Linked DNA regions of Drosophila melanogaster. The protein of the gene in region 2 interacts with the protein of the main gene of each other region in a pairwise test. Each region holds a gene or a part of one and is shown on either strand. Other genes may lie near its edges.

The links.
Region 1: the proteins of sna (region 2) and CG7135 interact in a two-hybrid assay, tested with the Drosophila melanogaster proteins (one large-scale study listed by BioGRID).

Annotation. Positions count from the first base shown.
Region 1 is NC_004354.4:18,101,575-18,105,931, forward strand, and holds CG7135 (uncharacterized protein), read left to right. Parts: upstream 1-2,078; 5' UTR 2,079-2,106; coding exon 2,107-2,471; intron 2,472-2,535; coding exon 2,536-3,010; intron 3,011-3,169; coding exon 3,170-3,583; 3' UTR 3,584-3,819; downstream 3,820-4,357. Other genes in the region: Taf8 (TBP-associated factor 8), read left to right, coding at 486-633, 694-1,128, 1,184-1,312, 1,370-1,644.
Region 2 is NT_033779.5:15,475,946-15,479,961, reverse strand, and holds sna (snail), read left to right. Parts: upstream 1-1,701; 5' UTR 1,702-1,854; coding exon 1,855-3,027; 3' UTR 3,028-3,369; downstream 3,370-4,016. UniProt on the Drosophila melanogaster protein: Essential for the correct specification of ventral-dorsal patterns.

The DNA.
Region 1 (4,357 bases), on a different chromosome or scaffold from region 2:
CAGCTTATAAATAAGTTGACGCCTCAGCGATTTTATTTAATAATGGTTGAGAATTTATCTTAAAAAGATGCTTTAGACTTATGCAGGGGAATAACTAACTAGTTTGTTGGAATTATTAAAAAATTGCCTGTTTCTATAAATACATAAAATAACTTTTACTTTATTTCCTAGGACTTAGTTCAGAATTTAAAATGTCTTTCATCAGTTTAACAATCTCTGGTGACGTGTTTTTCCACTGAGCTTTTCAATAAACTCTTAAGAACTGAAAATTTAGGATTTATAATGCCAAGCCTTGGTTTAACTAACATAAAATCTTAATGCCAGATGAAATATTGAAATAACCAGTGGAGTTGCACTTGAACTCATAAGGAGCGTTGCGCCGATAGCTGTAGTCGATAGTGCCGAACAGTGCCATCACTAGCCGCTAAAGTGGCAATATTCACTGCGGTTTCTACTTTAGCATAAACAAATTGAATTCTGTCTCCATGGAGAAGGTGGAGGCGGTAACAGTGTCCAATGTTGATCCCTATAGGCGGATCCTAAACAAGGTGGTGTCCCAGCTGCTATTGGACAAGGGGGCCGGCCAAGCGAGCAACCACAGCCTGGAGACGCTCACCCAGATGCTGCAGGCGTGTAAGTTGACATTGTGATTACCATTTTGTACTAGGATAATCATTTAGCACGCCATTCCAGTGATCTGGGAGATCGGCAATTCGGCGCATAACTACTGCGAGCTAAGTGGACGCACGATGCCCACCGTGGGCGATGTCAGTTTGGCCCTGATTAACATGGGCATTTCGATCTCCAATTTGGATCCGTACATGCGCAAGGAGACGCACGTGCCCATTCCACTGCCCCCACAGCAGACGCAGCAGCGCCCGCTGAGTCTGCTGCAAGCGGGCATCAAGGCCCCGCATCCCCACTACGTGCCCAGCTACTTCCCTCCCATGCCCGATCCGCACGCCTACATACGGACGCCCACGCACAAGCAGCCCGTAACAGAGTACGAGGCCATCAGGGAGAAGGCCGCCTGCCAGAAGCGGGACATCGAGAAGGCGCTCACAAAGTTCCTCTGCAAGACCACGGAGACGAACAACCTCTTTCCCACCGAGGACAACATGTTTCCTTGTAAGAGGCACCATAATCATCCAGCGAACAATAATTAATAACCATTTCCTTTCAGTAATTGCCTGCAAACCGGCCTTTCCTCCCTATGCAGCCGCTTTAAATCCCACAGATCAGGTGTTTGACTTCGAGGAGCTGGAGTACCACTATCTGGTGGCCAATCGCACAGAAGATGAGCCCAGCAAAGGTGCGTTTCTTTCAAATAGTCAGATGCCACGAGTGCTAACACTTTCCACCCTTTTAGACGACGGCGAAGAGGGCGATAGCGAAAACGAGGAGATGGATGGCGACAAATCCAAAGAGGAGAAGCCCGAGCTGGATATCAAGCCCAATTCCAACACAAACAAGGCCATTTTGGAGAACCCCAACATCGATAATCCCTATTTGCGGGCGGCTACTCTGCCCAAGCGATCCAAAAATTGCCCCACACCCGGAACCATGCCCAGCAGGAGTCTGGCCACCACGGCGCCAACGATACGAACGCCCTCCACTCTAGAGATAACCAAAACTAACCTTTAAGAGTAGCAGGCGTTTTTAATTATGGTTTGAAAATGTAAACACTCCTGTTTTCTTTAAATTTAAAAAATTAAAAAATTTAAAGTGTAGTTTTAGGTTCAAGGACTAATATATTTTATTTTATACTTACATATTTGGAATCTTTAAGTTTGAACTGAAGACATTGTATAGGGCCAATTTCCTCAAAATGGCATAATATTTCGTGTTATATATTTAAATAATAAAATAAATGGGTACTCCAGCAACGATCTGTGCTGGAAGATCTGCAAATCGGCTATGTTCTTCAATCTGCAAACCGCTAATCCAGCGGCAAATGCACTTCCATCAAGGCAATTGAGGAAGGTCCAGTCGTGCCCTGTCCATTAAGATCAATTAGGCAACAAATGAGGCATCGGCAAGTGCTCTCCGAGATTTTGCATAAAAAGCCGGCTGTTCACCGCCACAATTGCAATTTACGGATACACGATGTCGGACGCACTGGAGGAGCCACCATTGTACCTTACGCCGCAGTTCTTCAGGCGCACCCTGGAGCACGGATTGCAGCAGCTGGACCTGCAGGTCATCGGTGTCCAGCTGACCAATCTGACGCGTGGCGGGGAAAACTACTGCAGCAACATTTACCGAGCTCAGATTAAGTATCGCAATGCCGAGAGCTGCGCAATGGAGACATCCCTGATCGTCAAGTCCATGCCGGACGAGAAGCAGGCCATTCTGGCCCGCCTGCACATTTATAACAAGGAGACGCTTTTCTACATGCACATCAAGCCCAAGCTGGAGGCACTCATGTGGAGGGCGGTGGATAGTTTCAGCGCTTGGACTTTGGCTCCCAAGTGAGTTCTAAGCGGCAGTGTGTCTAGGATCCATGAGGAGTAACTTTCGTTTTTCTATTTGCAGGCACTACTATTCCACGACCCAGCCGGAGCAGACGATCATCCTGGAGGACCTTTGCGCCGCAGGCTATCAGTTGAAGTGCCGCCAGCTGGGTCTGGACTTTGACCACGCCGCTCTGGTGATGGCCAAACTGGCCGAATACCATGCCCTCACCATGGTCATGGCCGAACGGGAGCCAGAAACCATTGTGGACCGCTATCCCTTCGGTCTGCTCCACATGGATGCCATCAATTCGGAGCCCTTCAAGCTGCTCTTCGGCACTCAGCTCCTAAAGCTGGCCGCTCTGGTCGGTGACTGTGAGGGATTCGGTGGGATCACCACAAAGCTCTACCGCTACCACGAGCACTTCACCGAACGAGTCCTGAAGGCGGTGTACCCACTGCGCGGCAACCATAACGTGCTCAATCACGGCGATCTTTGGGTGAACAACATATTCTTCAAGTACGATGCGGAGTACACGGTGCAGCAGGTGAAGATTGTAAGTACCAAAAGGTTGGCCACAAAAATTGAGGCTTCCAGCAATCTCCAATATTAGATTATTTATTTCTTCATAAACCAACTAAGAACTAGCAGCTAGTAGCTAGTGTTTATATCAGAATTGACTGATCCTTTAATGCCCTTTTTACTGCCCCTTCAGATTGACTTCCAGCTGTGCTTCTACGGCAGCCTGGGCTTCGACATCAACTACTTCCTGAACACCAGCTTGGAACTGGAGGTGCTACGTGACCGGCGGCAGGAGCTTGTCGACATCTACTACAGGTCCCTGGTGGACTGCCTGAAGCATCTGCCCTGGTCCAAGGAGCTGCCCAGCTATGAGGATATCATGGATGAAATCAGAAAGCGCGAAGCCTACGGTTTCTTTGTGGCTTTCGGATTCTTCCCGCTGATGAGCATGATCGGTGTGGACTCCGAGGACAACTCACTGAAGAACTTTCACGACGAGACATTCGCCAGGCAGAAGGTGCAGCTCATGTTCGAAGGAAACACTCGCACGCTGGAGAGCCTCAAGTGCACCTTGAAACGTCTGGACGAGTTGAAACTGTTCGACTAGGCGGTATATACATAGTTCGTAAACACATTTTTTTTTTGTCTATTTTCAAATAAATTATAAAGGCCTTGTTGAATTTGTACATGTTGCAAAGCATGTTCCAATCAAACCAAAACCCATTCTATTATAAACAAAAAAGCACGATGTAGATTAGTGTCGTGACTATCAGATACCCCTTAAAAATGCACGATAATACCATTACAATACAATATGCAATAAACTTTTTGGCATACATTTTCAATATCGCTGTCTTTTCATTCAAAACTATACTGTATTTATGATATTCGAGATCGTGAGATTTCGATCCCCTCCTGAAAATCTCAACCATTTTAAAGATTATTTCGCTCAGTGTTTGTGTGCAAAAGATGATTTTGGGCATGGCAAGGTAGAAAGAATGTTCGTTTTTTTTTTTTGTAATTTAATTTAATTTACATTAAAAAATATAATTTGTAAATAATGAAATATAATAAATAATTCATCAAGGCGTTCAGATGTTTGGCTGTTGTTTTGAATCGTTGATCTGAATTATTTATAAGCAGTTGAGTTTGAGTTTGAGTCTGAGTTTGATTTTGATTTTGAGTTAATTTAGTTGTTGCTGTTGTTGTTTATTGACTTCATTTCTGATCAAATCCATTGTGGACACATATATATGGCGAGATATATACATGCATATATATTTGCGGATATATATATATATTAATAGATTCATATAAATTATATTGCTTCAGATAATTGTTGTAAATAATTTCAATTATTGTTTAGGGCGGGAGTCACGGG
Region 2 (4,016 bases):
CGCGGTGCTCATCGGGCAATTCCGCGGCCGAGGACTTCATCGTAGTGATCATTAGGTAGATATGTGCATGGATGTGACATGGCGATCATTGCGCGGAATAACACACGTAATAACCGAGATATCCGGGATGACCCACCAGGTAGGATGTGAGGACATATAGAAAACCCCCAGCCAGTTTTTCCACTCGTCGTGGCTTGTTTTGCTTGAGTTTCGCTGACTGCGTAATTGGATAAGATGGGAAATTACTTTAAATCCTTCGCTGATCCACATCCGGACATTCGTCGAAGGAAAATCCATTGCAGGGAAATACGAAATGGAAATGCGGCTGGGTTATTGGCTCGACATTTCCCATCTTCCCTCACGCCATTGGTTGCAGGATCGCGGGGAATTGGAATTCCGCGCTGGAATTTTTTGTCACCTCTTGGGTTTATCAAAACTTTTGGGTTTGCTATGGATTTTTTCCAATTTTACCACCGCGCCTGGTTTTTTTTTTTTGACGACGCGGAAAATCGGACTTGGCTATGCGGGCTTGTCTGTTTTTCCGGGTACAAAGTCTGCATGTCAGCCTCCATGCGGGAGTGGGAGTTGGGAAAGTTTCCCATCGATAGTTGGAGGGGTGGCTTGAAAGTCTGGAGGTGCTAGCTGGGAAAGTTGTGTGTGCGCGATGAGGCAAGGAGTCAAAGATCAGGGGAGTTGGAAAGCGAGAATTGTGGGAATCGTCCAGGACTCAGCTGGATGCTGAGGGGCAGTATGATTTTTTTTACGTTATCAATCGAATTGATTTTAAGACAGCAGAACTTCACATACTAATAAGATGACCATGGGATTAGTTAAAATGTGTAACTCGTATTCGAATCGTCATTCTTTCACGGACCAATCGTGGGAACAGGAGATCTCTTCGATCCAAGCTCACAGGAGACTTGACACTCTTCGTCTATTCCTTGTCAAGTTTTTAATGACATCTCCTATGCCCTGAGCTATGTTTTCCTAGCTCTCATCGATCGCTGCCAATGAGCCACTGGAGATGATCCATAAGTCAGCGTAGAGTGCACCCCAGAGTTGACACTTGGTGTCTCGGAATTCGGCTCATTATCAGTGCTATTTTTGGAACACCTCTCTGCGAAGGTGTCATTTTTGTCAGTGCGTATCGCTCAGGTTCAACTCCCCACCAAAAACCGAATTTAGAGCATCGGCAGATGTACTTGAAGCACTCAATCTAAGTGAGGAAACCACCCCATGAACGAAGAGTACTAGGAGTCCTATTTGACTCGTGCTTAAAAATAGAAAATTACTTAGGGTGATCCATAGGTAGGGAGGCGATATTGTAACTTGCATTTCGGACCCGGACCTGCACGAGTTATTACGGGTGGGTTGTGAGCGTATCGGGAAATTGGAGAGCCACCAGATCTGTCATAACTTATACGGGGGATCCTTATTCCTGGGAGGGTGCGCCTGCGTCTGCTCTTCCGAGAGAGAGGTGGGAAATGGAGGAAGAGAGAGAGAGAGAGAGTGAGAGAGCAGGTAGAGGGAAGTGAGGGAAATACGCAATAAGGGTATGGGAAAAGTGCTGTTGTTGTTGCTAGGTAGCGACGCACACGTGCGAGTGTTTTTCTGTTTTGAAGAAGAACCACCACCAAATGGCGACAGCGGCGTCGGCAGAGGCGCAGAGTTCCGGGTATAAAAGAGCGTGCTCGACTGTTGACCTGTCACAGCCACCTCAGCTCTCGTTGAGAACGCAACCACCGCTCTATACTCGATCCCGAACTATATAACTCGCCTCTCGATCGCCGATCTCCCGATTTACCCATCTCGATCAGTACCGGAAACTAAAACTTAATCACACACACATCAAAAATGGCCGCCAACTACAAAAGCTGCCCGCTAAAGAAGCGCCCCATTGTCTTCGTGGAGGAGCGTCTGCCACAAACGGAGGCCTTGGCCCTGACCAAGGACTCACAGTTTGCCCAGGATCAGCCGCAGGATCTATCCCTGAAACGGGGTCGCGACGAGGAGACCCAGGATTATCAGCAGCCGGAACCGAAACGTGACTATGTGCTGAACCTTTCAAAAACACCGGAAAGGAACTCCAGCTCTAGCTCCAACTCCTGCCTGCTGTCGCCGCCAGTGGAGGCCCAGGATTACCTGCCCACCGAAATCCATATGCGTGGACTAACGGCAGGAACAACGGGATATACCACCGCCACCCCCACCACGATTAATCCCTTCCAGTCCGCCTTTGTGATGGCCGCCGGTTGCAATCCGATCTCTGCCCTGTGGAGCAGCTATCAGCCCCATCTGGCCGCCTTCCCCTCGCCAGCCAGCTCGATGGCCTCGCCCCAGTCGGTCTACAGCTACCAGCAGATGACGCCGCCCTCCAGCCCCGGATCCGATCTGGAAACCGGTTCCGAGCCAGAGGATCTTTCAGTGCGAAATGACATCCCACTGCCGGCTCTGTTCCACCTTTTCGATGAGGCCAAGTCCAGCAGCAGCGGTGCCAGTGTAAGCAGCTCATCGGGATACTCCTACACTCCGGCCATGAGTGCCTCGTCGGCGAGTGTTGCCGCCAATCATGCCAAAAACTACCGCTTCAAGTGCGACGAGTGCCAGAAGATGTACTCCACCTCGATGGGCCTGTCCAAGCACCGTCAGTTCCACTGCCCGGCAGCCGAGTGTAATCAGGAGAAGAAGACCCACTCCTGCGAGGAGTGTGGAAAGCTGTACACCACCATTGGAGCCCTGAAGATGCACATCCGCACCCACACTCTGCCCTGCAAGTGCCCCATTTGCGGCAAGGCCTTCTCTCGACCCTGGCTGCTCCAGGGACACATCCGCACCCACACTGGAGAGAAGCCTTTCCAGTGCCCCGACTGCCCACGATCCTTTGCCGACCGCTCGAACCTGCGAGCTCATCAGCAGACCCACGTGGACGTCAAGAAGTACGCCTGCCAGGTGTGCCACAAATCTTTCTCCAGGATGTCGCTCCTGAACAAGCACTCCAGCTCCAACTGCACCATCACTATTGCGTAGGATTCTCGACATATGAATCCCTTAGCAGGACACAATTACCTAAGCAAACTCACATTCCGCTGGCGAAGACCAAACAAACAGACAATACCTATTATAAGTTTGTACTAAGTCGATTCGGTTTTGGTGCTACTATTACTATATTTATTTCAGCTATAGTATTCTAAGTTTAAGTTCATGTATATTGCCTCATTGTCACACGCAGCATTTTACCAAATCTATTCATTTAATTATAATATACCCTTATTTATGTATTCTCAGTACTGTTAAGCCAACTGTTGTTAAGATTATTCCTAGCTTAAAGAGAAGAATTAAATATTTTTATAAAATAAAACTCACGAAAAGAAATTTATATGGTCTTTATTATTTTTAACAATTTTGAAAGAAATTCTCACAGAAGGAAACTGTATAGAAATATTCAATTTAAATTCTATCACTAATATTTGGGCTCAAATACAGACAGATGTGAATAAAAAAATTTAAAAATTTGTAACCAAAAGTTATAGAAAACATTTTAGGTAGTAACAGCATTCATCGAAACGCATTAAAAAAATGTAATCTTTCCTTCTACAGTTTCTATGTGCCTTCAAAATGTACAATAATTAACAGGAAACCAAACATCCGCATTTTGGGGTCTGCCCCTGTTCATATTTTGTGACAATTTCCGCCAACCCTCTCGAAAAACAGAAATCACAACAATAGCAATATCGAATTCTCGGAGAAAACACCTTTGGCATGTGCAAACAGGGAACCGATTTGTCATACACTTTCCTTTTCGGGGACTTCCTTCTAACCCGCCCCCATTAATAGCATTCCATCAATTTCAATCCATATCGCTCGGCGTTTTGCACCTTTTGCCAATGCAAATATTTAATTAGCTGACACCGACATCGCTTCACGTTTACATTTCTGCAATCCTTTTCCAGCATTTTGCCGAACTGATGGCGGCGCATGCGTCCTGAGTCCCTAAAGGATACCAAAGGACACCAGAG